Tribolium castaneum: one gene and its partners. The protein of the gene in region 3 binds, or shares a complex with, the protein of the main gene of each other region. Links are inferred from orthologs where the notes say so. Each region holds a gene or a part of one and is shown on either strand. Other genes may lie near its edges.

What was found.
Region 1: MED23 (region 3) and mediator of RNA polymerase II transcription subunit 25 share a complex: the UniProt entries of both Homo sapiens proteins name them as parts of the mediator complex. The link is inferred for Tribolium castaneum from reciprocal best matches to the Homo sapiens genes MED23 and MED25.
Region 2: MED23 (region 3) and MED20 share a complex: the UniProt entries of both Homo sapiens proteins name them as parts of the mediator complex. The link is inferred for Tribolium castaneum from reciprocal best matches to the Homo sapiens genes MED23 and MED20.
Region 4: MED23 (region 3) and CycC share a complex: the UniProt entries of both Homo sapiens proteins name them as parts of the mediator complex. The link is inferred for Tribolium castaneum from reciprocal best matches to the Homo sapiens genes MED23 and CCNC.
Region 5: MED23 (region 3) and MED21 share a complex: the UniProt entries of both Homo sapiens proteins name them as parts of the mediator complex. The link is inferred for Tribolium castaneum from reciprocal best matches to the Homo sapiens genes MED23 and MED21.

Annotation. Positions count from the first base shown.
Region 1 is NC_087402.1:9,088,953-9,095,760, reverse strand, and holds the start of mediator of RNA polymerase II transcription subunit 25, read right to left. Parts: upstream 4,436-6,808; 5' UTR 4,338-4,435; coding exon 4,216-4,337; intron 2,909-4,215; coding exon 2,738-2,908; intron 2,690-2,737; coding exon 2,470-2,689; intron 2,423-2,469; coding exon 2,074-2,422; intron 2,029-2,073; coding exon 1,783-2,028; intron 1,736-1,782; coding exon 1,551-1,735; intron 1-1,550. Other genes in the region: toll-interacting protein, read left to right, coding at 4,731-4,775, 4,823-5,121, 5,169-5,625. UniProt on the Homo sapiens protein: Component of the Mediator complex, a coactivator involved in the regulated transcription of nearly all RNA polymerase II-dependent genes.
Region 2 is NC_087398.1:428,398-433,547, reverse strand, and holds MED20 (mediator of RNA polymerase II transcription subunit 20), read right to left. Parts: upstream 2,817-5,150; 5' UTR 2,681-2,816; coding exon 2,060-2,680; 3' UTR 1,988-2,059; downstream 1-1,987. Other genes in the region: Hmbs (porphobilinogen deaminase), read right to left, coding at 1-701, 1,043-1,307, 1,360-1,546, 1,606-1,678, 1,731-1,775; uncharacterized protein LOC103313212, read right to left, coding at 3,022-3,094, 3,152-3,236, 3,284-3,355, 3,961-4,332, 4,382-4,558, 4,666-4,769. UniProt on the Homo sapiens protein: Component of the Mediator complex, a coactivator involved in the regulated transcription of nearly all RNA polymerase II-dependent genes.
Region 3 is NC_087394.1:35,202,292-35,209,105, forward strand, and holds MED23 (mediator of RNA polymerase II transcription subunit 23), read right to left. Parts: upstream 4,314-6,814; coding exon 3,900-4,313; exon of another isoform or gene 3,855-3,899; coding exon 366-3,854; 3' UTR 307-365; downstream 1-306. Other genes in the region: uncharacterized protein LOC658853, read left to right, coding at 1-216, 263-306; stress-associated endoplasmic reticulum protein 2, read left to right, coding at 5,718-5,801, 5,860-5,970. UniProt on the Homo sapiens protein: Required for transcriptional activation subsequent to the assembly of the pre-initiation complex. Component of the Mediator complex, a coactivator involved in the regulated transcription of nearly all RNA polymerase II-dependent genes.
Region 4 is NC_087394.1:8,424,202-8,430,989, forward strand, and holds CycC (cyclin-C), read right to left. Parts: upstream 4,533-6,788; 5' UTR 4,404-4,532; coding exon 4,372-4,403; intron 4,321-4,371; coding exon 4,214-4,320; intron 4,165-4,213; coding exon 3,958-4,164; intron 2,118-3,957; coding exon 1,663-2,117; 3' UTR 1,552-1,662; downstream 1-1,551. Other genes in the region: Pa1 (PAXIP1-associated glutamate-rich protein 1), read left to right, coding at 1,101-1,306, 1,355-1,532; leucine-rich repeat-containing protein 1, read left to right, coding at 4,888-5,390, 6,037-6,295, 6,353-6,544. UniProt on the Homo sapiens protein: Component of the Mediator complex, a coactivator involved in regulated gene transcription of nearly all RNA polymerase II-dependent genes.
Region 5 is NC_087401.1:8,392,013-8,397,353, forward strand, and holds MED21 (mediator of RNA polymerase II transcription subunit 21), read left to right. Parts: upstream 1-2,833; 5' UTR 2,834-3,021; coding exon 3,022-3,063; intron 3,064-3,111; coding exon 3,112-3,327; intron 3,328-3,377; coding exon 3,378-3,551; 3' UTR 3,552-3,660; downstream 3,661-5,341. Other genes in the region: FAM21 (WASH complex subunit 2A), read right to left, coding at 1-104, 157-334, 384-1,458, 1,504-1,699, 1,843-2,035, 2,083-2,402, 2,454-2,573; Set1 (histone-lysine N-methyltransferase SETD1B), read right to left, coding at 3,701-3,874. UniProt on the Homo sapiens protein: Component of the Mediator complex, a coactivator involved in the regulated transcription of nearly all RNA polymerase II-dependent genes.

The DNA of each region.
Region 1 (6,808 bases), on a different chromosome or scaffold from region 3:
GATAGTCCATAACTGTTAATTGAGCGAAAACTAAATGAATAATTATTTATAATCCAATACATCTGATCTCTAAAACAGCTTTATAAAAAAAAAAAACGGAAAAAGTTCTATAAAAACATCAGCTGAGATCGGATTTTCAAACTCATAGGAAAATTTTCCAATAGGAATCTAAATCATGCCTAAAATCCCATATAAAGTCTGATATAACCAAAATTTGATATTGGACTCGATGGAAAATATTTTCCTACGGGACCACATTTGCAACGTATATCATTAAATCAATTTATTCACACTGGCCAATAAAAAAAAGTATAAGTTCTAGGAGAGTCCAGTTGATGGACCCGACAGTTCTTGAAATACCATAAACCATAATAAGAAACAAAAGAAAAACAGATAATATTCTGTTCATTCTATTATATTTCATAAAAATTCGTAAAGAATTTTTTGATATGTAAAAAATCTCGGAAAAACGTTTGCGAGAAATCTGCAAAAATTTTAATGTACCATATTAGAACATAAAAACAACACAAACTATAAAATTACAAGTGAACAGTAATTACCAACGTTGCTTATAATTTACAATACAAATTTTCTTTATGCAAAAAAATTCCAACTAACTTTTATATATGTATTTTAAATGTTTACAGGATGTATTATGTACAATGCAAAACGCCGTAGAATGCATATTAATTTTTTATTTACATGAAAAACTACAATTTGGTCCATTGGACAATTGGACCAAAAAGAATAAATAGAAATAAATAAAATATTTAGAATAAATGCAGCCCAGGACTACAATGCAGGTGCTATGACTGGCCTTCTAAAGGTCAAAGAAAATCGAGAACAACCTGTGAGCAATGTTTAACAAGGTTTTTAGCGAACATAGTAAAAAAACATTATCCACGTATGGTAAAAAGACTAGTAACAATTTTCATCTTAAAAAAATGAGTTTATTTTTTTATGTTTAAACATGTTTGATTTGATTAATACAAAAGTAATTAATCATTTATCAAAAAAGCGATAAAAAATTGTTGAAGTCGAAGCTGGCAGTTAGCAGTCAACATTTAGAACACCTAGCAATTTTGTTTTCCCAACGGAATTTTTTCCCATGAGTTTAAGAATTGGGTCTGTGTCAGATTATGTACCAAACGGACTTTGCTCATTTTACAAATTAATATTTAACTGTTTTAATTAGTAGTTTAGGAGGTTACACGGTTTCGAAGTACGTAATACATTGGAGGAAAATGTATAGTGTACACTTTAGAGATAAATGAGATTTTCTTTATAAAAAATATACTGGCAATTAAAATTTATTTTTTTTAAACTCTGTTTTAAAAACTACATCACACTGCTCATATATCTTACATTAAAAAAATGGAGAATGTACACTTTGGAACTAGTCTTCTGAATATCCCTTTATCCCTAACAAAGGGGTGCACTAGTTCCGATACTAAGAGAAAATAGTAAATAATGTGTTTTCTGATAAATCTCTTAGTTTCTGAGATCGAAGAAGCCTTTTTTTGAACAGATGTTTTTTTGTTTATAAATACCTGTCCAGGGGAAGTACCGGCCTGATTCGGCTGCGACACCTGCGCAATTGAGGTGGTCTGTATCCCACTGTTGGGATTCTGCGACATCGACGTCTGAACATTTGGTTGCTGATTTTGCTGATTCATAATATTAATTTTCATTTGGGGTTGTTGCTGTTGCGAATTAAGCGGCGAATTATTCCCCACTAAAACACGCAATTTACCTCAAACACCTCAAAAACTTCTCTTTTACTTTGTCCAAATTGATTAACCCCAGTCCCCGGCATAGAATTCGGGGGTTGTGTCAGCTGTGCAATCAGTGCGCTACTTTGGGTGGTATTAACCTGTTGGTTGGGCGGCAGATACGACCTGGGCTGCGTTGGGGGCAACATAGCTGGCCATCTGGGCCGGTTCGCTTGGTGGTAGCCCGGCGGTGCGGGCAATTGCGGGATGTTCATGGGGTTGTTGCCCATCATGGCCCCTCGGGCGTTCACCATACCTACCATGCCTGGTGTAACATTTTGTGAGTGTTGGGGGGTTATACCTTGAGCGCTGGGCGGCCGATAGACGGGCGATGGGCCCACTCCTGAGGGAACCCCGGAGTTGGCGGACGAGGATGACGAGATGGGGCTGTCATTGCTGGCTAAGGGGCTGGGGAGAGAGGTTATAGGAATGGTAGTGTTAGAAATTTGGGTTTGGGCGGAAGTGGCGGTACCGGCAGGGGGGCTCAGGGGGCGCTCCTTCAGGCTGAAGCCGCGCAGGAGGACCAAGTGACGGGGGTCCTTGGCGTAGTTTTTCGTCTGGGAAGCGCTCAAATCACCGCCGGCTTTCTCGAACAGTTTATACAACGAGGGGATTTTGCGCGGCGAGATAATCGACAAATTGATATTTTTCTGAAAGTTAATTATGCAAATTTGGTGGAAGACACTTGGTTAATTACTTCTTGCAAAATAGCTGCTAGTTGCTCAGCTGTCTTCCCTGTGTAAGCATGAGTTTCAAAAACCCCTAGAGAATAAGGGGGCGAGTTACACACTAGAATACAATGCTTTTGAATGTTGCCGTTATTGTCACGTTTTTGCTGCAATTCGTCAAAACATTGAAGGGTTGTGGCTAAACCTTCAGCAATGTTTGCATGAGACTCGCCTTTACCTCCTATAAGTCTGAAATAATTTTTACATTAAGTGATCCTTTTCCTAGTTAGAACTTACTCAAGTTTGTCTATGGCATTTAATACCTTACTGGGGCTTACAAAGGGCCCAATTGTGTCGCTACTGGGGTGCGGTAAGCAATCAGCAGCCTGATACACCACAATTCCGTAATAAGAATTAATCCCTTCTGATAGGAAGTTGCTCTCATCAATACTCCCCTGACTAAAATATCTAAAAGTCCCTCAGTTACAAGAACATATTCTCCAATTAAAAACTACTACTACTACTTTTTCGTATCAGGGTGTAATTTTTATCATAACAAAGCAAGGTTACACTGATTTCTCAGTACCTCAAACCTTGTTCAACTATCCGTTCAGAATTCATCACGAGAAAAAACAGAGAAATAAAAGATTGGAAATGTAGATGTAGATACAACAAAAATGATGATATTTGGAAAGAAAAGTAGTATGGGAATTCGGAAAAGAGGATGAATGGCAATGGGAAGGAAAAATATAGAACAAGTGAAAGACTTGAAGTATCTGAATCAGATATGTACTGTATTATTTTAGTCAATCTTCACTATTTCAGTTAGAAGAGAGTAATAAGTAGCAAGATGTCAGACACAGCCCATATAAAAGAAGCAGCAAAAAAAAACAAATGGGGTTTTAGGAAATGTTTGAAGCTTGGGAGAACGTAAATTTAGTGAAAATTTCAAGAGAAAAATAATAGCTTAGGGAAAAGCACTGTAATGTAGGGACTATTTTGAGCAGAAGTGTGGGGATGGAAGAAATACGAGATCGAACAGGCTAAATAAACAAATGCCAGAGTACATAGTAAAAAAAGGAAGAGAAAAAAATTAAGAGTAGATTAAGGAAAGAGAGCGGTGGGATTTGAAGAGAAATTAAGAATTCTGCGTGAATGCAACAGTGTTGAACAGAAATCAAAAAAGCAAATGAAAATGTTAGATGGAAAGGACGAAAAGACTCCTATGAGAAGAAGGAATAAGTGTGTATAGAAATTAAAAGAATAAGAGAAAGGGGACGAACAATGGAAGAGGAACTGAAATTGAGAGATTTGGACATAGATAGGCAGGAAAGAATAACATGGAAAAAAGAATCGAGGTGTAATACGTAAAATATGCCGTGCTTATTGACGGATGAACTCCTCTCATACTTAAGGAAGATGTAAAGTAAAGATAAGAAAATCATAGCCAGATTTAGACGTAGAAATGAAAGCGAGAACGAATATTGGAGAGAAGATTGGGAAACAGTGTGCAGATTAAGCGGAGAGTGTCACAGTTTGTGGAGGTAAGAGTGTGCAAGTTTGATACGAAAAAAAGTTTTAAACGAAAATGGTAAGGGAAAAGAATGGATGAAAAAAGTGACGGGTGCAAAAGAAAATTGGGAAAGGTAAAGAATATCTAGAATATCAAATAACTTCAAGTAGGACTGTAAAGCCAAATAGGCAATAAAAACAATTTAGCAGTAGTAGAGAAAAACATGTAATACATCAGAAGTTACAAAAAAAAGTAAACTTACTCTAACGAAGGGATGATATAATTGGTTTTTAGGTCATTTATATAAGCACCATTCACTGCAGTTCCCTCGATAACAAAAACGATATCGGCGTGTAAGCCATGATCAGCTGGACACACAACCATTGTTTAGTCAAAATATTAAACAATTTTAATGAAACAATTTAATACAAGCACCAAACCCCGCCATATTGAAAATACCTGTCAAATTTTTAGGGATGTTACGTCAAGTTAATGGCAACACTTTCATTCAGATGAAATTTTATTTTAGCCAAATTATGCAAAAATGTTGTCTGGAAAACTAATCAATTGAATAGAATTATTAGTAGATTGCATTTAACCAAAACTACCTGGCTATTTTCGCCAGAAACTAATAAAATTTAATCCCAGACTGGGATTATATTTTTTCCCCTAGTGTCAGGCGTGTTGACGTCTGCCGTGAACAGCTGATTATTTGTCATCAAACACCGCAAACAGTGAATTAATGCGTCTTTACTTTATCTGAAATAGTGTAACACCATGGCATCGGCGCTAACGGACAAAGTCAGAGAAAGGCGAAGTCGGGTAGGTGCCAATGATTTAAAAAATCGTGCTTTAATGCCGAAATTTAGGTCCTCCTTGGTCCCCTCCCGGAGGATTTTCTCCGTATCAGCACCTCGGTTCAGCAACAACAAGAGGCAGCGGATCGCCAAACAGCCATAGCACTGCACCACCAGCTAAGCGGTGGCCAACAGTACACAAATGTCGTTGGGAGGCTCAGTATCACTGTTGCTCAAGCTAAGCTCGCAAAAAATTACGGAATGACCAGAATGGACCCCTACGCTCGGATTCGGGTCGGGCATTGCGTTTACGAGACGCATACGGACCCGAACGGCGGCAAAAACCCGCGATGGAACAAAGTTATTCACTGGTAAACACATCTCAAAAACTAGCAAGTCCCTACTTTTCCATTTCCAGTTTGTTGCCTCAAGGTATTAATACCATAACGTTAGAAATTTTCGACGAACGCTCATTTACGATGGACGAACTCATCGCCTGGACGCAGTTCCAGATCCCCCAACAGGTACTTGCAGGGGAAACCCACGAGGATTGGTACCCATTAAATGGGAAACAGGGTGAAGGTGTCGAAGGAATGATTAATCTCGTGTTAAGTTATCTAGTGTTCCCTTCATATAAATATCAACCACCGGCGCCTGTTATGGTGGTGCCCAACGTAACAGGGGGCAATGTCACACCCTTGAAGGTGTTTACAGCGCCTCCTACTGAAGCCGCGCCTGCTTTGAGTGAATCCGAGCTCAAACAAATCGAGGAAATGTTTCCAAATATCGATAAAGAGGTGATTAAGACCGTGTTTGAGGCCAACAGGGGCAATAAAGACGGTACCATTAATTCGTTACTTCAAATGGCTGAATAAATCAATCAGTAATCTCATTTACGCCATAATTAAACTTTAGTTGCGGATTCTAGTCGTAGCTTTTTAAAATTCCATTTTTTGTCATTTTTTAACTCATCAAGTGCCAAAATTTAGCCATGCTTTTTGGTTTGCTTATCGTGCAATTTTAATTTTTAACGATTTCTACTTGAACATTTCCATTGTTAATTCCAACTACGGGGGGCTAAAAGTTTTGGGAAGGGGTTGAGTTAAATTAATACGAAACCGACTTTATTTATTTGGTATAGAAAATTGAGTGATTCAGTCCTCCGTAATTCCAACTCATTGTTACTCATATTTTATCTACCATGTTATGTTTAATCGTTGTTGTCGCAGAATAAACAACAATAATTGTATTTAGTTACTTTATTCAATATCCTCTAACAATGTTATCAAAATACCATCAAAAGCATAAATTCTTAGTTCTACTCCATATTTGTTATATAAAGATTCATTAACAGTTGAATAGATTCATCGGGAACTTGCTTGAGTCGATCAACAATTTCCTTGAACATGGCTTTGGTTTGGTCTTGTGACGGCTCTTTACTGGGCAAAAGTTTAATAACCAATAAATAAATTGTTAGGTCTTTCCAATTTTCCAGTAAATTCAAACAAAACTTGTAAAAATCTTCATTCCAGTCGCCGTAACAACGCAAAAACGAGGCCAAAGAATTTTTCAATTCGCTTGCAAAAACGTTTACAACAACAATACCGTATTTTGGCACCAAAGTATTGAGAAGTCCAGCAACTGCGTTGCTAAATTTGATTAAATCTTTCTTTGCCTCGAGATTAAACAACGCAAATGAGATTTTTAAGTGTTCTTGAATCGCTTCGCCAACCCCAAACAGGCCGTGCCAACGGTCGGAAAATAATTGAAGTATTTGATAATCTCCCTCGTCTGTTTCCATCGTTGAAACAAAATTTGCAACAAAACGTAAAACTAACTGACGCGCGTTTTTCTCCTCTCCGAGAGTTACAAATGAGGCGGTTTTAACTTTGGTTAAAATATCGAAGATTAAATTTATAATATCGCTCGTGTAACTCGTGTGAAGTATGGTTGAGATAACGAAATCATTGATCGAGTTTTTGCACTTGGAGTTGCATTGTAGGAAATTGTTTGTGATAATTTCGGTCAGAAAATGCAAAGGGAAGTCTTTGAAGACAT
Region 2 (5,150 bases), on a different chromosome or scaffold from region 3:
GTCTCCACTGGCGTCTCAGTGTGAGGAACAAGCCCACAAACCGTATTAGAGTCACTCGGACCGGCCTTAATTTCCGTCTTTGCCTCTTTGAGAAAAGGGCACTGTTTCAACAACTCCGCCCCTTCTATTTTTCCATTAACAGGGCATTTGTCCATATTTGCTTCCAGATATGGGCACTTGCCCATAAAATCCGCCCCAATGGGTAACGCCACTGGGCAATGTTCGTGGGGGTCGTTCTTCAAAACCTCTACTGGAATTTCGTCCAGTTTGATTTTTTTGGCCGGCATTTGGTCAGGACAAGTGTCGCAACGTTTTAAATTCTCGATGTCTCGGACACAAGAAGTGCTCTGGTTGCTAGTATTAAAAGGACAAGCGGTGCAACGTTGCGTATTTTTTATGTCGATTTCGCATTCTCCCGTTTCGATTATTTCTTCTTTGCCGTCAAGGGACCACACGGCACCCTTCAATTTTAAAGTGTGTTTGTTGTCTTTGAGGCGGGACAAGTCGCTAGAAACTGCGACTGGTGCACTACAGCCCCCACCGAGGGTTTTGAGGAAGCTGCGTTCTGATATAACACGGAGGGCAGTTTGGACGTCGTAAAGGGGCTTCAGGAGCTCGATTGTTTTCTCGTCCGATTCGCGGCATTCCACAGCCAAGGCTCCCTGGCCAACGGCGTACAAAAGCTCGTCAGAATCTAAAATCTAGATTTTTTCATTGAATAACTTAAATAAGGTTTTGTCATAATTTTAAAGTAAAATGCAGTAACGACAATAAACAACATGATTACGTCCCAATTTGTGTGAAATTAAAACAGGAAAAAATGTTTTTAATAAATTAGATAAGTGAGAATTTGTCATGTCGTTTTTTTTTCAAACAACTAATTTGGATTTTATTGCCATATTCTTGTCTCATACACAAAGTGATAAGGAAAAAACAATATAACAAGTTAATTAGTGGCAAAAATATACGTATTTTTGATACAAAATTGTAAAAAATGAAGTTAGATAACAAGTGACATATTAATATAACATATAAAACCCACCTTGCTTATTCTGCTAGTCCACCCCATCCTAATGAGACCCGCAGAGGCCAAAATAATCGCTTGATATTTCCCCAACTCATCTAATTTTTTTAACCTAGTGTTTAAATTTCCTCTAATGCTTTCAACCTTGAGATGGGGGTACTTTCGGGCCAATTGTGCTCCCCTCCGTAGACTAGAGGTGCCAATGACGCTTCCCTCTGGTAAAGTCTCTAATAAATATTTGTCATGATCTTTTTGCAACACTAGAGCGTCCCGCGGATCCTCTCTAAATTTTACGAAAGCTAATTATAATCATTACAATAATAATTAAGAAAAACCTAGTCAAAACAGCCCCAATTGCCATTCCTGGAGGTAATACGGTTGGAAGATCTTTTAATGAGTGTACAACAAAATCTACACAGCCTGTACTTAAAGCTGCTTCAAGTTCTTTGGTGAAGAGAGATTTTTCACCAATTTTTGGTAACGGTATATCTAGGACTTTATCTCCTAATGTACTCATTGTTACTAAAAATAAATTTTTGAAATAAATAAATAAATTTTGGGAATTTTTTGCGAAACCTCACCAATTTCAAAATCCTTCCCAGGATGAATTTTTTTGAGCAGTGAAATCACATGTCGCGTTTGAATGAGAGCCAGCTGAAAATGTCAAATGAAAAAGAGCCCACAATAACAAACACGTGATAAATACCTCGCTTTTCCGGGATCCAACCCGGATTTTCTCAATCTCACTCATTTTTGTGCTTTTTCTCTCAAGTAAGGAACAATTACCGCAAACGCATGATTATGTTTTCATGCTGTTTTATTGAAAAAAAACTGCTTCATCACCACTATCACATTCTGCCCTACGTAAGTGCTGATAGAGGTGAACAATCAACTTTCCAAATTATGTAATTAGACAAAGACGCATAATAGTCTAATGTGTGGGAGTAAAAGAGAAAGACAATATAACCTCAAAATTGTTTTTATTTAATTTTTTCTTTACAAAAACTTTGAACCTTACAATAAATTAGCTTAAAATTAGGGCCTTAAACCGGGGGCCTTCCTAAATATCGTAAACTGCTCCAAATACTGATGAATTGTATCAATGGGGGTATACAACTCCTGCATCCTGTTTTGCAAATACGGTGGGGGCGTTGCAGGCACCGACGACCCCAAAAACCCCTGCAGAAACTCCCGCATCAACTCCCAACACATCGCAGGCACCACACATGGTCGATACTCTACTTCAACCAGAACCCCCCGAAAGTTCTGACTTACAGTCACTGTTCCCAATTTTACACAAAAATCACCGATTTCGTATCGCGGCCCCTTCGACTCGGCCTTAGTCTGTTTTTTTGATGAGTAAAAACCGGACATTTTCATCATCAGGAGATCAAAAAGGCCGTCAGTTGCGAGAGGAATGGTCTTTTGGCCTGTCTCAAGGATCGAAAAAACAGTCGCCGGCTGCTCGGAATTGTGAAGGACGTGGACTGTACGTTGGTGTCCCAAAGCGGCACAAGAAGTAAACGTTTCGCAATCGACGAGAAACTGGCCCTGTTGCAGGGCCCCCAGGGCGGAAATTCGCTTCGAGAGGAGCTCAATGGTGGAGGGCCCCGTGCGGTTCTCTGTGGGGAACTGTTGTAACACTGTGACCCCCATTTTAAGTGGATTTTTGGGGGCTAAATTGAGGTTATTATAGCTTAATGATCGTCAGTGGTGCCAACTTAGCTAGGTGTCAAAAATGCTACAAGTTCAAAGTCGTTGACCCCTTATCTCTTGAATCATAATGTAAACATATGTTTTATATTTACCGTATTTTTGGATTTGATTTATAACAATAAATTTTTTTGAAAATTGCGTTTTTATTTTGGTAAACCTTAGCTAACGAAAATTCCTAGTGTTCTTACGCGCCAAACTGCAACTTTCAAAGTGGTGGAATAAAATAGCGATTATTAAATAAAACTTTTATTATAAAAGTGTCATTTTTACAAATAAATAATTCAAGGCGAGGCTTTCTCACAACTTGACAGTGGCAACGTTCCTAATTCTTCGTCAGCAAATTCTTCAGCGTGTCTAAAAAAAAAACAAGATCAATGGATGAAAAAAAATTAGTCTAAATTAGCAACTTACTTTTGCTTAATTTTATAAATGTAAAATAGAACCATAAAATTTATCAAAAATAAAGCCGCTATGAGTAAGGCCGGTGCTAAAACATCTGAAAAAAAATTAACAGCAACCTAAACAAATCATAAAATGCGTTACCTGAAACCATTTCGATATTTTTCGATTTTCCGATGTCTTGAACAGTTAGCAGAGGCTTTTGTTGAAGTTTTTCTGAAAAAATGAGTAAATTTAGCCTTGTTCACGAGTCGCCGCTGACTTAATGAATGTGGTCTGAAGCGCAATTCCGCAATTTGATAACAACAAAACTTTTCATAATGATTTTTTTTATAACAATACAATATAACCTCAACTGCTTTGTCTAATTGGACGCTAAAAATACAATTACATGAAAAAAAACTCTAGAAACACTCACTATTTGCCTCGTTAGTGCAAACTCCTACAATTCTTTTTATCGCGAAAAACGCCTCTAGGTAATCCACGTGGTTCCTACACGATTTTCCGTTGACAACTGAGCATCGCGAGAGAGATAAAGCAATACGGGAACGTTTTGTTGAACGGAAACACCAACAAGTCAATAGGCAGAGGCGTAGACTCCATAATATAATTAGATTTTGTTTGGGAGTTTCATCGAATGCGAAATTGTTTTGTAGGGCTTACGTTCAGTTTATCTTTGTTTTATCCAAACTAGCAAACTCGCACAAAGCACGAAATGTGGAGTTTCGGCGTTATCTTTGTTCGCACACAACACTTTATCTCATTAAAAATTAAAAAGCGGGGTCGGAGGTCAATTCCATTTAGCGTCTAATCAAACTTACTAGTACAGTTGGGCAGAGGGAGGTCGACGTCCCACTTGGCCCCCTCGCAGTTGATGATTTTGGTTTTTTGTCCGTCGTCTTCAAAGGCCCGATTGATGCAGCACCTGTATTCTGCAGCTGTTTCGTTCCTATAGACCAGGTAGCCGTCTTCAGGGGCGTCGGGGGTGGGACACCCCACGGCAGTGTAGTGTATAAGCACGCCTCTGAGGGGCACTAGCGAATGGGCCGAGACCAGCACCACCTCCACGAACTCGCTCTCTGACACCACCTCCAGCGGGGGGTCTTGGGGCTTGCACGTGGTTTGGACCAACTGGCCCGAATCGAGAATCTCAAGCCGGTCGCTGCATTCATCAGGATGCGTTATCCTGTCGGCTGGATTTTTTTTAGCGGGGATTTAGGGAGCGCTATTGGTTTTTATTACCAGTGATGGAGATGTCCAAAACAGTGACACGAATGCGTTGCTCTCGAGGGGCTCGCAGCTTCCAGCGGCATTGTCTCTGGCTGGAGTAAAATCGGGGGTAGCCCGGGTTGTGGATAAAACCCTCGGAGGGGCCGGAGAGGAGGATCTCGCTGTTACAGAACTTCCTAATCTCGTTTTCTGGAAAATGGATGGGGGCTTAAAGCGGCTAATAATAGGGATTATGAACGTGTGTGCGGTTTTCGATATCCGGGAGATTGGGCGATTTTCACGTCGGTTATAACTACCTGATATGCAGACGTATTTGACCCTCAGCCGGCCAGTGCCCCACAAATGTGCATCGGGACAATCCTCGGTGAGAATGAAGCTGCAGTGATTCACCCCTGAGCACCTACAAGCAAAGCCACCCTCAGTCCGGCCCAATTAGCCATATGCTGTGATCTGAAGGGCGATAAGGGGCCCGCGTGACCGACTGTTACACTTTTCGCACGGATCGATGATGATCCGGCCCTGTCCTTGCTCGCCTTTTACGCAACCGCGTTGTCCTTTGTCACGGCTATACCTTGACTCAGACCGTCGAAATTTCGGCCTCCGACCCTGACCTAGACGAGGCCTCGACGAGGACGAGACCCAATTCGGGACGCCCTCGGCGAAGGCTGAGCCAAGGTCGGGGCCCCACGTGCCGACCGATCGATCTTTGGGGAAGATAGCGATAATTGAATCTGACTCATGCTCACACCGACATCAGATAACGCTAGGCTAGGTCAGGATC
Region 3 (6,814 bases):
GTTGCGTTGAAGCGATAGCCGCAACTTTGTACATCACCGGATACAAAAAATTAGCTCGGCAGTATTTAGATAAATTTTCGTGGGGACATTCATTTATCGAACTGAATAAAAATATATTGGAGGTATATTCAAATTGTAGCGACAGCCAATCGGTGATTGCCGAACAGACCAAATATATAGAAAATGAGCAAAAACAGCAAGAATTGGCCAAACAAGGTATGTAACGACGAAATGTTACCAATTAAATAACAAACTGTTTTAGCGAAACCGGATTTTCCAAGTTCAAGGGAGAGTGAATCGGATTAAGTTTTTTATTTTTTTATAAAAATGTATTTACGTAAATGTAAAAACATAATACAAGTGAGTTACGATGCATTAACTTCCTCAATCGCCAAATGTGCGATAAACCTCAACCTCATTTGCAAAGGCGGTCTTAACCGGCGCACCACAGTCTCCAACTCCTTCTTCATGCTATCCCCCACAAACATGTACTTAATGTGGTACAAGAGATCGCAGATCGGGTCCATATATTTCAACTCGCTGTGCGCGTGGTCAACTTGTGCCAACAGTTCGTACAAAGCACTCGTCAATTCCACTATTGCCACGTTAAACCGTTGCAAAAAGGGCCCCACAAGATGACAAACATAGAGAAACTGTTCTTCGGACCGTACCACAGCCGGTAAACACTCACGCGCCCATCGGGGCACACTGGCGATCTGCCCCGGACCAGCGTGATGCCAAACCGAATGAGCCAAAGCTAGCATATAACTAAAATTATTATGCAAAAGCCCAGCGTGGGTTTCTTTGAAATCGAACAAACGGAAGGGAGAACAGTCAAAATTCCACGTTTCTAGCTCGTTTAACGTGGCCACAAGTCGATCGTGTAGAACACTCCAGTAGCTAACTGGAAGCGCTGCCAGAATTAAACCAACAGCATTGACCCACTGGTGGATGTCTGACGAGGGAATTGTGACATAGCCTTTGGCCACGACGTCTAGCAAACCGTTGGCTACGGCCACCGGACCGGCGGACAACGCCATCAGTTCCACACAGCTGGTGTAAAGAATATGAGCCCCGGCGTTTGGGAACTCATTGAACCGCCAATCAATTACGGAATTGGCAGTGGCGCCCCCTAGAATATCAACGACTCGCTTGACCACTTGTATGTAATAGTCCAGTTCGGGGGTCCACATCTCGTCAGCAGCTCGTCCGAGGTACAGTTGGTAGGGCTCCGAAAGACTGTCTTTGAGTGTCCCTAAGACAGCAGCCACCAACCGTCGTTTCAAAGGTGGACGGTCCCTAAGCCTAGTCTCGTAATAGTGCAAAGTGTTGTACAAATAAGTGACCGGACGGTCATGAAACTTGTACAAACAACCCAAGTGTTCTAACAGAATCTCCAAACTTTTGGTGACTTGCGGTATTTCCAAAAACCGGTGCACCACTATATCAAAAACCGGCAAAAAGCGCAAACACACGTTGCCAAAATAGGGGTGGTAACCACTTGACTGTTCCTCGGGGGCAAACTTCTCGGGGTATTTCCGGTGAAACTCCAAGTGTTTCTCGTGCCAGTTGGTCTGGTTCCAATGATCGGGCGAGTTGTCTTTGACGAAATCCTGCACCCGATTCCTAAACTCTGTAGCTTTAAGCAACACCAACTGGATGATGAACGAACAGACTTGAGCCTCGCTCCCTTCCTGCGTCCGCAGCGCCAAACACAAGACCAACCGATCGATTGTCACAATATTGTACTTCCAGATCATGTCATTGATCGTATCCACGCATTTGTTAACATGTTGCCCCCCAGGACTGTTACTAAACTCGAACACGAGACAATCACAAAACTTCCTCAAGTGGGCCGAAAGCGCCCTTGCCCCAATCCTCTCCAGGATTTTGTAGGCAATTGGCGTGATGTGATCAGTCTCGAGGAGCATTTTCCACAACAAACAGAGGAAAAGTGGGGGCGCTCCCGCAACCCCAAAATGCGCCATCATGTCATTTTCGTTGTTCATGGACGACCACTTCCGGTACTCCTCCTCCACTGCTTTCTTCAATTGTTGTTTGTTTTCTTTAGGGACGGCATGTTGCGTGAAAAACTCGGCCAGAGCCCTGGGGAAGCATTCGAGGGTGTGGGGGGCCCACGCATGGGGGGTACTTTGTGCAATGGTCGCCAGCAACTCGTGACACCACGAGCCGTCGGCCCCCGTCACGTGCGTGGCCCTAGCTAGGGTCAAAACCAGCGCCCGATTCAACTCTTCCGATTCCGCCGAAATTAACGTCTTGGGTTCGGCTAAAAAGCGGCTCAGTTCGGGCTGAACTTCGCCACTGCCCAGCCCCGTGATTAGACGCAAAGCGGTCGATTCGACACATAAGTGCAGTTGGGTTTGGTTGGCTTGCGGCACCGCTGCCAACGAATGCAAGTGGCTGAGTAACTGGACACGGTAGTGGGGGTGGATGTGGTGCATCCGATAACTAAACATCTCCAGAAGTGTGTAAAGGGTGCCCCAAGCGTGTGACTTGTATACGGTTGGCAACAACTGGCTTATGAACCCTTTGATGCCCAACGATTCGATCTCGGTGTACACCAACAGGCGACTGTACGTTTCCACCAAAGCTGGTGATAGTGGCATTCCTAACTTGGCCTGTGCTAGTTTAATCACGTGTGTGACAATACTATGGATTAAGCTCATTTTCGAATGCACAGTTAATGAGTCCAAGACGGCCATGCTTAAAGGCGCGGTAGGTGGGGCTGTTGATTTGGGGCTCCCTTGGATCGTCTCAACTAGCGCTGCCATTGGCTTACTGTAATAATCGGGGTTCGTTGAGTAGGCGTTGCACAACAAGGCGATTCTGTAGTCATTTCCCATCGCTAACACGGTGTTATTAGGGGGCACCAACTGTTGGAGGAAATCATGATGGTTGCGTAGTTTGGCGGGAATTGGCCAAGTCAAGTTGGTCATTTCGGCTTGCGCTTTCTTAGTCAAGTGGATCCAAATGCACGTCATTGCCATCTGTCTCGTACACTGGGGCTGGTTGAAGTCCGGAACGGGCAAAGGGGGCTCCTGTTCCGGAAACAACAGTTCGTAAAGCCGCAAAACTGGGAGGAAATTCGAGAGGGGGTTCTTCTGAATCGAACCGGAAATAAACTGCAAGAGGACCCACATGAGTTGGTCGCGCCCTCTCCGCAAGTCGCGCCCTTGCAGTCTCGAATGCAACGATATAACAATGTTTGGGAAACTCGCAAATTGGAAAAGAACAAAATAAATTAACTGGGACGACAAGTGCAGCCATAACCCTTGAGTGGCGCTCTCATCGCCCTCATTTTCCGTGCGTTCCAGCGCCAAAATCACCAACTCGACCAGTTGTTCCTCAAGGGCGGCACAGTGTCTCTTGTGCTGTTTCTGCAACCCTAACATGCCACACACCATGTCGCGACTGTACGGCTGTTCCAGAACGTATCGTAATAAACCGGTTTGCTTCTCTAGTAATTCGGGAGCGTACGGTAAAGTGCCCTTAAGCGAGAATCGCAACGTGCACGGGTCAAGTTTCCAGGGATTGACCAAGTGTTCGGGACAGCCGCTGTGCTCCACAACTGGCCGCATTTCCGCCTGGCCTACGATAGCCACCATTTGGGCACAGGCCCGAAAACTGCCAACGTAATCGGAGAAGAGGGCAGCAAGGCGCCAGTGGGGGCAGTCAGGGTAGGCCTTCTGGAGCTCGTTCACTAGGAGATAGCCAGGCAGGAGGCACGCGTTCCTGTCCATGATTCGTTCAGCGACGCTTAAAAGAGCCTGGGTTTGGGGCTGCAAGCCCGCGTTCAAGCGCCAGGGGAGACTTTTCGCCTTCTCGCAACATCCCTACAATCAACAATCAAACAATTACCACAACAATTCCCCACTTACTTTCATAATTTCGCGAACGCCCTTGTATTCAACCAAATCTATAATTTTCCGCACGAGTTTAAAGCACTCGATCCAGAACCGCGCATTGGTGTGTTGTAGTTTATCGAAATTCATCACCACCTCACACACGATACGGGCCCCAATGGTACCGTTGCGCACGACACTTTCCAGGAGCTCCATCAAGAGCTGGAGCTTGCTTTGGGAACATAGTACAGCAGTGTTGAGGTACTGGCGAAGGGCGGTGTCTAGCTGCTCCTGGGGGATGCTCCGCAGGGCTGTGTTCAACTCTTGTTGCCATACAGCCACCTTTTCCTTTTCGGCACTGGGGCGGTGCACTAGAAAGCAACTAAAGGCTTCTTCGATGCCTTCAACTTTGAGAATGTCGGTTAGGACGTTTGTTAGTGGCTCGCCCATCGTGTCCACGGTTATTTTTCAGGCGAAAACATTATTTTGTGGTTATTTGAATGGGATAATAACGGTAGGTTATGTTTGGCCGACTACATGTTTAGGCAACACATTATACAAGCGCCTAACACTGCAGAACCGTATTCGATTATTTTGACTTGCTGGGTGAATCCTCAGAGATAATAAATAATTGCGTGCGTTGTAAGATGTTATCAACTCTCAAACAACGTCAATCTAAATTATTCCATACCTAGCCACATTGTAATAAAATTCATATCAGCCCGAATCTATTCGTTTATTTGCATATCCACTTCATACGTGAAAATTTGTTTGCTTATCTTTTAATAAAGGCAATATTATTACCGCACGTCTCGTTCATTATGCGCTTAAAGAGTTCTTTTTGTCTCACATTTCGATATGAACTCACAGTTCATAGAACAGGTGAGGTGTCACTCATTTAAATCGTTTTAATTTATTTGTTTCTTCTCCCTAGGTGCAAATTTTAATGCACGCTCAACAAATTAAATGTGCGGAAAGTATTTTTGGGAAATCAAACTACATGTGGCTTTGCAGCAAAAGAACTCCCGTTATTTGGATGTCGACGAAAGATGAATTCTTAATTCGACAAGCCCTAACAAAGGTACAATTTAATTGTTGCAATTAAACGTGCAATTATCCTTCTTTAGGTCACTCCTGACCAACAGGTGAAAGTTATGAAACAATTATTGACTTGGCTGGATAATAATCCCGAAGTCCACTCTTTGAAAATCCCTGAAATGTCGCTAAAGCTCCTCAACAACATGGCTAATGCCAATGCCATGAATGAAAGGACTTTTTCAAGAATGAATAGTTTCAGAAACAGTCTGAGACGCTTGTCCTTAATTACGAACCGAATCGCTCCCGCAAACACACCCAGAAGATCCGTAACTTTCAACGACGTTCCCATAATTTACCGCATAAAATACTGACAAAAAAGTAACGAAACCTTTACAATATCTATGTAAAATTTGTGCCGAAATAAATGCACCTTAAAATTTTTGTTTTTTGAAAAATCTGAGTTAAAAATCAGGGTAAAAAGTCAAATTCAACGTTGTTTTTGATGTTTGAAAAAAATGCATAGAAGATAGGAAAATGACCAAGAAAACTAGGCATATACTTGATTATCATAAATTATTGCAAATTGAATGAACCCATTGGAAATTTCTAGCACTCCCTCCCTTGTTTGAAATTCTCCACGCGTCCGTGGCGCATGCGCATTTTCATCTTACGTGTCAAATAAACGTCAAAAAAGCGCCTCCCTTGCCCCTCTCCGCACTTTTCGGGCCAGTGTCGAGGCACGGACGTGTCAAAAACGCGTGTGTATGTTTTTCTGTTGAATTATTTCCACTTTTCCGTATTTTTTTCCTGTGAACGATGGCTCCCAAACAGCGGATGCGTTTCGCCAACGAAAAGGCCAGCAAGAACGTGGTCTTGCGAGGGAATGTGCCCAAATCGTCGGTGAGTACGCTGGACCATATTGTTTGTTGATGGGGAGCTGACGGTGCCCCTTTTGCAGAAGCAGCAAAGCGAAAACTCGCCAGTGGGGCCCATGATCTTGGCGCTGTTCATCTTCGTCGTGTGCGGATCGGCGATTTTCCAGATTATCCAGTCCATTCGGATGGCGTAGGCTAGGCTTCCCTCAAAGGCTCAATTCCTATCGTGTATAAACCGTGTCTGTTCAGTTATTGCATTTTGTTGTTTTCTCTATACTTATTTTGTAAATTTATCGTTTGTGGAATATAATTTTATCAGAATTTTTATCATGTATAAAGTGTATTTTTACATAAGTTGTACTAGAATTGGGTGGTACTACTTTACGCACAGATGCCTATAATGAGATTCTTTTGTAACCATTCCATGCTTAATTTTAGGAGACAATTTGTGTAATTACCATATTTTCAATGACTATTAAATTATTGAGTTAAAACCTCGTTTTATTTCATTGCATTACCTACACTCACAACTAGTTGTGTTAGAAATGGGGAGTAAAAGTAACAGACAAACAGTTAAAAAAAAGTATTACCCCTGTTACCTCACTGAAATTTCAAGTTCGGCAAATTTCATAAAGAAAAAAATTAACAAACAGATATAAAATCAGAATGTATGGTTTGTGGAGTGTATTTTGTGTTGCATTTGTGCCTAATCAGGCGCGGAATCTTATCAATATCTACAAAATTGTTATTTAAACCGATTTTATCAATATTTCGTTTTTTCTTTTAGCTCTAGCAATAATTTATCTGTTATCGGAACAAAACACAACAAGAGGATTGTTTTTGTTATCAATAGGTATAATTATTACGAACATACAATACTATTACTTCGTGTCATTTTTCTTCTACCGTTTTTCTTAATTTTATTCACATACAAAATAATTGAGCCTTTTCTCCCTAAACTAGGTTCTCATCTTGTGAAGAAAATTTGGTATTTATCGATAGCTTCTGTGTTCTGCATGAATTAAAAAGAAACAATTT
Region 4 (6,788 bases), about 27 Mb from region 3:
AGGACTGTGTGTATTTTGTAAATATTAAATATTATAGAAAATTATAAGTGAAGATTTATAGAATAAATAATTACGATAAACTTGCCTTTAAACTACGCAGGACTATAACTCAAAAATATAGTACGGCAGAGTAAAAATGAGGGCGCTTCGAGCAAGATATGTGTACAGGCTTATTCTTTTAAAACTTTTTATTTTCTAATATAGCTAAAGCTTTAAGATTTTATATTTATAACTAAATCGATAATTTTTAGTTCAACTATATTATTTCAAAATGGCTGATTTTCCTTAACTAAGAGAAATTGGCGCCAACTTTGAAATTTTAAATAGTAACCACTCATTTTTATTGCATTTCAAACATGGCGGCAATTTTTTGTAATTCCGGATGGTCAGCCATTTTGAAAATAATTTAGTTGAACTTAGAATAGTCGATTTGGATCTATACAAAATTTTAAAACTCTAGCTATCTTACAAGTTAAAAAGTTTCTAATAAAAGGATCACCCTGTATGGTCTCGCAGACTTTTTTGTAAGAAATTTATTTGTTTTTAACCGTATTCGCAGCGTGTTGAAAAATATGGGGCAGAGTGGAAATTGGTTTAAGTTTGATTTTTTTTTTTAAATATAGTTTACAATAAAATTTTTGCACTATGTTTCTGTTACTATTGTGAATTTAATGCTCTATCTGCCTGTATTTTTTTGTTTATTATGTGTTAACCATTTTTCCAAATTCATTGCTCTGAAAACTTTGGTAATGGAACAACTGCGCTCTCTGGCGACATTAACGGAACTATCGAAGGCGGTAGCGTTTTATTTGTACGTAATTTTATTTCTAACCTTTAGATATCCGTACTTTCGTCAAAAACAAACTCGATTTTACGAATTGATTGAGATTTTGTTATTTTTCTACAGTCTGTTATTTTGTGGACGTTAACGAACAATTTTACAGAAGAATGGAAGAATGGAGCTTATTTTGATTAGTTTTCGCCTTCTATCTCTCAAATTTTTAAATTTAGCGCTCTGAAGTGACATTTGGAGTTGATTGAGGTTATGTAATTTTTTTTTAACATAACCTAACTTTTACAACAAAAATGTTTACAAGAGAATGGACGAAAATTGGGATATAGAGTGCTCCGACGACGAATTTAAAGACATAAAAGGCCCTTGGGAGCCCCCTCCTGAAGTGATCGAAAAACTTTACGATCAATTAAGCAAGGGTGAAATTCCTGAACTGAACTGGAAATGTCCTGGATACCGTTCACCCTCTCCGGAAGTGGAAGAGCCGCCTCCGGTTGAAGTTGAGCAAAAACAGTAAAATTTATGGTTTGTGTTTACACAATTATTAATTATTGTCTGTAGGACTGAGGATAAGTCCGATTTTGATTTTATGGACGAAACTACGTCCCCACGCCTCAAAATTCGAAACAAAGGAGAGGAAGCACTGAAAGGCAGCGCCAAGAAGAAAACTACGTCTTTGGACGGTGTTATTAACAACATGCGGAGGCATAAACTCATACCGCAACAAAGCAACCATTGAAATAACATAAAACACTTCATAAATCTAGGAACTTTATTCTGAAATTAGCACAGTTATGTTGAATTGAATCAAAGAATAAATATTTAAGTGATAGTTATAAGCGTAAAGTCACGTAGAAATCGTCCGATTTCTATCTTTGAGGGGCAGGTTTTGGTTTAGGCATTTTATTCAACAGTCCTTGAATTTCTTTCTTCTCGTCGTAAGTCTTCCACAGCTCGAATAAATTAATAACGTATCTTGCAATTTCTTGAATTCGTTCTATGTCCACGTTCAGTTCGGCAAACCAAGCCTTGTGGTCCTTTTGCAAGATGACACAAGCTATTTGAAGACAGCCAATTGCAATTTGATATGGTGGATAAAGCAAACACACATCAGTCCTAAGAGAATCGTTCACTATCCTCCAGGCGAGAGTCAAAAGTTGATCTTCTTGACCCATGTCTTGCACTAGTTGTAAGAGAGGTCTATAAGGCTGATAGACGATCAAGCAACAGTCGAGGTTTTCTAACAAGTAGAATTCACACTCTAGGATGTGGTTCGTACGATATGGAAATTCCTGACTATAGGCGTAACTAAACTTATTTTTAACTGAAAATAGATTGTTTAAAAAAGCTAGTTTTAACTTAGCCTCCTTCGATCTTAGACGGCTTTGAAATTATTAACGACAGAATATAATATTAATTTTTGGATTTTTAAACTGTAATTAATTAAATAACCGCGAGAGGTCGCCCTGTTGAGTGGTATGTTCTGAATACGGAGGACTATAAGTTAGGAGACCAAAAATAGTACGGCAGAGTAAAACTGAGGGCGCTACGAGCGTTATACCGTCTTGTCGCCAAATCGTTTTAAATTAATTTAAAACCAACCAATTCATTAATAACGTGGAAAAAATGTAGAAATGTTTTGCACTCTTAACAGACTAAGAAAGACTGACGACTACAAGTTTCATGACAAACATGAGAATTTTTTTATTTAATTTGTGCTTTAAGAAGACGCTGCGAATACAATTAAAGATACAGAAAAATGTTAGGAAGAAATTTGTAGAGAATTAAACTGACCTGCTAAACAAAAACCTTGTAACTACTTTTACGTATTTTTAAGTTATTTCGTGATTCTTAAATTTTCTTTAAATCGCACCTTTATGTTATATGCTTTTGAACTTTAATGAAAAAAATTAAATTGATACGCAATTTTATAGACATCTTTTTAGAGCGCTATTTTTCAATTTAAAACAATTGAAATAAAAAAATTGCTGAAGTTACTAAGCAAAAAAGTCGTAACTACAAAAAAACATTTATTAGAGAAAATTGAACACTTGAAAGCTAGATATTAGCATATAAATTAACGAAGAACAACCAATGCTTATAAATACAGTGGCGCTAATAAGTATTAATACAACTCATTTTTTTATTAAATGTGTTCTCTTTCAATTATTATTAACTTTTACTTATTTTTTGGTAAAAGTTGAGGCGGCAACGAGCTATCTTTAGATAAAGACAAGATTTACAAAGCTGACCAATTTTTTTAGTGCGATATTTTTTTTACATAATAAATTAAATTAAATTAATAAATAATTAAAAATATTAAATTTGACTTTTGGGTTCACCAATGAGACTAGCTAGTCTTAATATTCCCAGAACAAATGGAAATTTTTTTTAAACAAATAATTCGATGAATAAATTTACTTTCAGGCATATACCAAATTTCAATTAATTTTGAACATTTAAAATTTTAATTCAGTATTGTCAACAGACAGTATTTCTGGATCAGTCAATTAATAATAAACAATACTTCATTAAATAGACATTTTTAATTTTAGTTTTGGAGCAATTTATCTCAAAAAATTAAACGATTGTCCGGTAATATATTTTTAATCTTTTCAAGAGTTTCTGTTTATAAAATTTGATCCCTAAGTTCAAAAAAATTCGACGTGACTTATTTATCCAATTTTTGTCCCTCGAATAAAAATAGTATATACTTATTTATATCTGTAACCGTATTCGCAGCGTTTTGAAAATTATGGGACAGAGTGCAAATTGGTAAAAGTTTGAAATTTTTTTAAATATAGTTTATGATAAAATTTTTGCATTATGTTTATGTCCTACTATTGAGAATTTAATGCTCTATTTGCCTGTATTTTTTTTGTTTGCTGTGTGTTAACCGTTATACAAATACAACCATTTTTTCAAATTTATTGCTCTGAAAACCTTGGTAATGGAACAACAGCGTTCTCTGGCGGCATTAACGGAAATATCAAGGACAGGAACGTTTTATTTGTACGTCGTACCATATCCTAACTTTTAGATATCCGTAGTTCCGAAGTTGGATGCTTTTCGGTAATTTTTTTAACAAAAACTTGGGAAAATTATATCTGGTAACTTTTAGACCAGCCATCTAAGACCATCACGGAGACTGTGACTTAACTTACTGACTGTCTGACACGTTGTAATTAACCTAGAATTGGAAATCACCCCAAATTCTTCTACTTTGGAGGCTAGAAAAATGCAAGTGGGGGCTAACAATAACGGATCGATGCACTTAAGTGAGTTTTTTGCATAAAACCTCTTAAAATAAACCGTTGCGGTTGCTATAACTTGCTGGCGTAGCTTCAACTGTTCGCCTAGTGTTTGAATGACTGAAAAAATAAATTAAGAGAGTTGATAATAACCTAATATAAATAATACCGCTAGCAAAAAATATAAATATTTTTTGGTACTCCTCCTCCGTGAGGAGTTGGAGATCATGTTGGCGCTCCCTAATTAAATCTTGTTTGTCCAAAAGCCACTGCTGGCTGGAAAAAATTCATTTGTGATTTTGGGGCCGTTTTCATATCGTAACTTACTGGTGTGAGCTTTGCCAAAAATTTCCAGCCATTGCACAAACTAATCTGAGTTGAATTAAATCACAGGCAATAACTTTAAGCTTCCAGTCAATTATTAATTAACACAAAAGCAAAAGAAACCGGTCAAAGAAACTCAGTCAAGTGACAAGTGTCAACCAATGGAACTACTGTGGTGTTTTTTAACCTACGACCTCTTTTATTAAAACTGTAGACCTTAGAATACTAAAATTAAGTACAAACGAACGCTAATTTTTCAGTTTTGTTATTTATTTTATTTATTGTTTGTTTCGTTCGAACCATATGATACGAAAATGTTTGGTTGATTTGAACTACTTCAAATGTCAAAGCGCCACTTGTGACAACAAACAAATTATTGTTTGTGTGTTTTTTTGTGTTGGGAATGGTGTAGGGGCTCGGGCCCCCAGTTTTCTTTTTTGGATTCTTATTTATTCAAAAATGTGTGCTTGTGTACAAGTTGTGTAAATAATCAGTGAGTTTGTGCGACATAACCTCTAAATGCTTCCAAAAATGAATCCAGTGTACGATTACATTCAGCGAAACCGGGTTTTGGCAAAAATAGAAAAAGCTCATGGAACTAAAGCAACGAATTTAGCGCTAGATGATTACGACCTTGTCAAATTTCCCCCCTTGTTGGTGAGCTGTGTCCACCTCTCATATCTAAACATTGGTCATAATCAAATCACTGAACTGCCCAAGTGTCTCGGACAGCTCAAGAATTTGCAAAATTTGTCTCTGGAGTACAATAACTTCGATCGTTTCCCTGAAGTACTCAAGGATTTGCCTCAGTTGATTACTCTAAACATAAGCCATAATCCGATTAAAGACTTGACTAGAGATATTGGAAATTTAACTTCGTTAGAAACATTATGGTGTAACCGTTGCTATCTGGAGTCTTTACCTGAAGAAATTGGTAATTTAACAAAGTTGGAAACCTTGGGGGCTCGGCATAACCTGTTAACAAAGTTACCAGATGGAATCTGTAATTTAGTGCAACTGAGGTAAGTATGACACTTACCCAAAAATTAAAGAATTTTAGTTTTCGAAAAATCGACAAATTATTTTTACTTTATTCCACTCTCTTGTGAAACAAGGTCGAATTTTATCAACGAAAAAGTAGTACGAGGCGAAGCCGAGTGTGTTAATGCTTTTGGTTGGATAAAATCGTATTTTATCCACTGTCTACTTTATGGTAAAACGGAATTTTGTCGCCTAGAAAAATATAGTTCGCAACTATTGTTGTTTTTAAAGTATTTTTTATTGTTAAATTTCTTAATGTTTATAATTGTTAATCAAAATAACTCAGTAATTCGAAATAATCGAAAAAAATGGAGGAGAAATAAAATTTTGTATTTTACACGATAAAATGCACCATTATCTTCTCAAAACCTTCTCATAGTTAAAATCAGATTTTATCGTCTTGTATAATAAATAACTATTATTCTCGTGAGATTAATTACTTATCTACTAGCGCCTACTGTGTAAACTTTCTAAAAAAACAGATACAATTAAATATTATATAATTTCATGATGCCTATTAATAAAAAAAAATCCACATAAAAGCACAGGAGAGTTCGATAAATTAGAAAATAATTTTCAATTTAACCTCGCCCTCTTGTGATGGATATTACTGTTGATTTTTTTCAGGTGGCTTACTTTAGAAGATAATCAATTGTACACAGTTCCTAAAGACTTCGATAAGTTACAGTCTTTAATACACCTCAACTTGACTGAAAACAAATTTCATTATATTCCCTCAAATATATCCAAATTAAAACAGTTGAAATACCTCCACTTGCGCTTTAACGAATTTTATTCGATTCCGGAAAGTGTACTCACTACAATGACTTGTGTCAAAATTAATTTATTACATAACCCATTGTCCTCGACTGGTGATATAGATGTGGTAATTTATTAATTGATTTCAATTGTGCGTAAATAAAATTGATTGATTTTGTTCCAGATGTTCCCCAATGTGATAACATCAAATAAACAATTAGAAGATGATACGGCGGTCGATTCTGACTCAAATTCCGATTGGGAAAATAGTGTAGCTAGTTCAGATTTGAATTATTCAGCTACGGAGTCAGAAAGCGACGATGAAGATATTCTAATAGAAGTCTCGAAGTTGTCAAAATTTCTTGTAACGTTTTGATTGTTTCAGGTTTTTCCTTACCATAAAGTATTACGAGATATTGTGGTTTATTTTTTAAATAAAAGTCGGTTACGCAAAAGTATATTTCTTTTTAAAGTAATTTCTTGGAAAAAATACAGAACTATTAAGCTTTGCATTCTTAGCAGACTGAGATAAAGTGACGATTAAATTTTCACGAGAAACGTGAGAAAAAAATATAAGATTTACGTTTCGTCCCACATTTTTCAAAACGCCGTGAAAACGG
Region 5 (5,341 bases), on a different chromosome or scaffold from region 3:
ATGGGGTCACGTGACGTGCTATTTGCTTGCTCAAATTTTTTTAAGGCTTCTTTTCGACCTTTTCGTGTTGACGGGCGCCTATTTAGGGGTCGTCTGGCCCTATCCTAGTTAAAAAAAAAGATAAATTGCCAAAAAAACAAGTGATGTCTTAGTTACTTTAGTGACACTTGGTAACACTGTAACGTTGTCAGCCTCATCAAATGACGTGTGATGGTCACGTGGTGGCGCTTCAGTGGCGTTCGCTGCGCCATCTGTCTGTTTTGGCGGAAATGAGCCCGGCCTTAAGGCCCCAACGTTGATATTCAAATTGTGTTTGAGTTTTCCTGGTTTGTTACTAGAAAGCGAAAAAAAAATAAAAAGATGGTTAAATTTGTTGTACTAACGTCTTGTTTGCGTCAAGCGGGGGCGGTTTCTCCACGCTTTCCTCCTCTTGAACCTGATTGGGGGTTTCGTGGTCAGGGGGCGGGCCTTCACCCTGATTGGTTGTTTCGTGGTCAGGGGGCGGGCCTTCACCCTGATTGGTTGTTTCGTGGTCAGGGGGTGGGCTAGGATCAAAAAGTGCTTTAGCCGACGTTGACGCGAACAAATCATCAGGTTCAAATAGCGAAAGGCGTGGTTTAGGTTTTGGAGACTCCGCCTCTTTTTGCGTTTCACGCCTATCGACATTAATGGAATTTTTATCGTCTGGAATTGCCATTAAATCGGCGAATAAATCGGTGGAATTTTTCGTTTCTGGTTTTGTTGGTGCAAATAAATCGTCATCGAAAAGACCAGAAGTGAACTTTCTTGTCGCATTTGACGAGAAAAGATCGTCTTTAAATAAGTCATCGTCGTCATCAAACAATGTCACTTTTTTCGGTTTGACACTTGGCTCCTCCTCAAATAAATTGACGCTCCGCCCTTTTTGTGGTGATTTTTCGTTTTGCTCATCGTCACTGGAGCTTGGCTGTCGCCTCAACAATTTTTTATCGAACAAGTTGCCACCGCCGAAAATTGAAACTCCGCCCACTGGTTTAACAAACTTATGGTCGTCGGGAACTAGAGGCTCATCACTTGGCTCCTCCTCAAACAAATTGACGCCCCGCCCCTTGGGTGACGATTTTTCGTTTTCCTCCTCGTCGGAGCTTGGCTGCCGCCTTAATAATTTTTTATCGAACAAGTCGCCGCCCCCAAAAATTGAAACCCCGCCCACTGGTTTAGCCACCTTCTTGTCGTCTAGGGCCGGCGGCTCGTCGCTAAACAAGGGCATTTTGACAGGATTTTGTAAATAAGAGGTGGTTTTTTTCGTAAAAATATCATCATCATCGCTATCGAACAAGTCCTGTTTTGGGGGTTGTCTCAATTCGGGTTTGGGGGTTGGGGGCGTGGCTTCATCATCGTCATCAAACAAGCCCTTACCCCCTGAAAACAACCCCTTAGGTTCGTCCAAAGGCGGCGGTTCATCGAAAAATAGGTTATCTGGAATTAGCGTTTAGTCTGCGGTCCGCTTCCAAAAACAATTACCGTATTGTGGCGTTTTCTGGATTGGCCGTCGATTGACGTACTCTTGATCAATCACGTTCCCCAATTTCGCCGCCAACTCTTCGGCAAAGTTGGTAGTTGGTTGCACCGGAACTGAGTTTTCACTATCACTCGAATTGACGAAATTTTTCGGTTCAGTTCGCAAGTCCTCAGAACTGGTATCAGAGGTGCCCTTGATCTGGAAAAAGAACCAGATATTGCCCATGGCGACTGGATCGCGACTAAACAAAAAATTCGGTTGGCCGGTTAATAGACCAATAAAATTATGATAATGAATGGATCAAGTGCAACTCAACCAGTGGAAAAACATGTGTAAAGTACCTGTGTTCTGTCGGGAATAATTGGCAACTCTGATTCTGAGTCGCTTTCACTGAAATTATCTGAGACTTTCTCAGTTTCGCTATCGCTGGACGAGTCCTCCAGGCCCACGTGCCACGTCTTTTGCCACTCTTCTGAGCCGATTACGTACGGAAGGGGGCGCTCCAGGTACAAGTCTTTGGGTCTGAGGACAAAACTGGAAAAGACAAACTAGTTTTTGTAAATTATTTAGAAAAAAATTACTTGGGCAAGTCGATATCGTCGTCTTCACTGTCACTGACCGACACCTCAACCTTCTCAAAATACGTCTCCAAGACCTCCAAACCCTTCAAAGCCGCCAACCTGATTTCCTCAGTCTTATCAACCTCTTTCTCCTCGGCTTTCGCCTCAACCGGCTCCTCCAAAGTCTCATCGTCCTCATAAACCCGACTTTCAATAAACTGGCTGTTTCGCAAACTTTGAAACTCGTTTTGGGCTATATTCAACTGGAGACTTGTCTCAGACAGGGAGCTTGTCAAATTTTGCAAGTTATTGTTGATTTCGGTTGTTCGAGTCAGGAGATTCTAAAAATTGAACGCTGAAACGGTTCAATGTGGGCCAAAAATGCGAAATACGTCTGCAAAAGCCTTGAGAGTGTTCAAAAGGGCCACATCTCCGGCTAAATTCCAATTGTCCGAATTTTGGATTATTTCGTCCATGGACCATGGTCGCTCCCACGGCTTGGCCCCGGACATTTCTAAAGCGCTGAACAGGCCTGTAATTGCTATTTTTCATTAATAATAATAATAATTTGACATCTGTCAAAAACTGACTTGGGGACTTTCAACTCGTGGGTTGGCTATTACTCCCCGGTTTTGCGTTATTATTTGATTAAATAAAACCAATTAATTTGTAAATAAAACCGTTCTACTATATTTGAAATCAGGCGTGATAACTAAAATGTAACTTCGGCCCGGTGGGATTAATTTACGCAGACTTTACCCAACCAGATTTGGGTTGGCAATCATGTGTGTTTGTTTTTGCAAGATGTCATTCACCTTCTAGTATTATTCTAGTTATTTCGTACGAATTAATATATTTTGTCGCATATTAAACCTCGGGAGATAACAAATTATCATCAGTGTTGGTTTTTATGTGATTTCGGGTCTTATCACTTGTCGGTGATTGGGTAACATAACCTCAATGGCCGATCGTTTGACCCAGCTCCAGGATTGCATAAATCAGGTAATTCCCCCTAAGACTGTACCACTAATTGCATTCGTGTTGTCGCAGCAAGCCGAGCATTTCTGCAACAGCATTGGGATTTTGCAACAGTTCGCCCCTCCTAGCAAATTCCCAAACTTCGACAGGAGTGGCTCCCAAACCCCCCAGCAACAGAACCAAGAAGACTACGTCCAGTTATTCACAACGTTGATTGCGCGCTGTGCCAAAGACATAGATACTTTGATTGAATCGCTCCCGAGCGAGGAAAATTCAACCGAATTACAGGTACCTATCTACAATGACTTGGTCCGACCGCGGACTAAACACTGTTTCAGTTGCAAAGCTTGCGAATTTTGGAATCAGACAATCAAGAGTCTGCTGAGCGTCTCGAGGCTATAGTTCGTAAAGGTCAGGATCTCTTGGAGCAAATCCAGGCGGCGTTGAGCGACATCGCCCAATCACAGCTGGACATGCAGCATTTGACAAAAGCGGGGAGTAAGGATAGTTAAGTGAGCTGTTAATGAATTTTATTTGCGGTTGTGATGAAAAACAAACACAAATAACCATGTACTATTTACAGAAACATATATACAAATAAAAAAGATAATTTAAATTTTATATAGTAACTAACTCGGTTTAAAGTCTGTCTTGTTTCCCTTTAATTAAGTGTTCCTCGACACGTGGCCGCGCCACACAGACACGGGATTTTCTCGTCCTCGATCGGGAATTTGTAATCGTAAGTAATTTCCTCGTTCACACCTATGCTCTGTTTCGAGTAGATCACTATTTTCTTTTGCGACTCGATTGTGATGACTTTGGCGTAGCAATTCGGCTGTAAAAATCATTTTTTCGGGTTATGGAAGACTGTCGCTTAGGAAACGAAACGAGATACAAAATCGTACCCAAAATGTAAAAATGAGGGCGCTTTGAGCATTATACTGTCTCGGCGCCAAGTCGTTTTAAATTAATTTAAAAACAAATGGACAAATCAAGAACACAAGAAAAATCCTACGAAGAAATTTATGGAGAATAAAATTTTCTATTACACGTACACCAAGAATCATTTAAAAACACATTGTACCTACACCGTTGAAAATGGAAATATGTTGTCGCAAACTGTTTTATAGGAAATTTAATTCTCTACAACTTTGTTCCTTACACTTTTTTCAACAAGCGATTTATTCTTTAAAATATTAAAACATTATTAAATTGTTCTATGTTGTGTATAATATTTTGTGGTTCCAAGATATTAACACGAAACTAGACTCACCACAAAATTATCGCATCACTTAAATTGCAAGATTTTGAGTGTTAAGAGATTGAAAATAGAACTGAAATTGATGATATAAGATAATAGAATTCTCAAGTAACTTTCACTTTTTTTAAAACATTTGGTTAAAAACATGGCTAGCTAATTAAATGTCAAATTATTAAAATTACAGCAGGTCGCGTAAAACGGAGGCAGTTATCAAAGCTCGAGGAGGTAATATCTCCGAATGCTAAACTTGCCTCAGTGCCCTTAGTAGACCTTATGCAAGCCAAAAAAAAAAAACCACTGATCCGAATGAAATTGACTTTTTGACTTTTTTATAATCATGTTGTTGACGTTTAGTTAATTTATCGTTAAGTAGTTAATTAATTTATTTTTTAAATTTGATTAGTAAAAAAGAGACTTTCTCAAGTGATGCGATAATTTTGCCGGTGAGTGTATAATTAATATACAGGGTTAGGCTGCAAAAATATCTTTTACTATGGACAGGTTTATACATAGAAGCGATTAACTGATCACGTGACCAAATTGAAACAATTTGGATCATCCGAATGCATTGTTAAGTTTTAACTTGTTCAATTTTAATGGATCTTTCTATAAATAGGTCTTATACCTCAAAAACTAACTAATAGCGTCGCTCTGAAATCAGCGTTTTGTTTTAAATAAGTATTACTTTCTTTTTTTGTCTATTCATATATTTTTTTATATTTTTTTACATTATATTAATTGTAGCTATTAAAATGTACATAGCGATAGTATGATATATAGTAATTTGGAAGAGATACATATTATTATATACAGGGTGTCTCAAAATTGACGCCCATGCTTTGGGAATTTGATTCAGGGGGCTAATACAAATCGAAAGTTAAGAGTAAAAAAATTTCCAATTATTCTTTGTTATCGAGTTATTGATAAAAATGGAAATAATAAGCTTTATGTTGTCTTTCCAATTATTTATGCAACATAATTCATTAGTTGATGTTAGCGATGTTAAAATTTTTTGAATCGCTTTCTCTAGTGACAAGTATT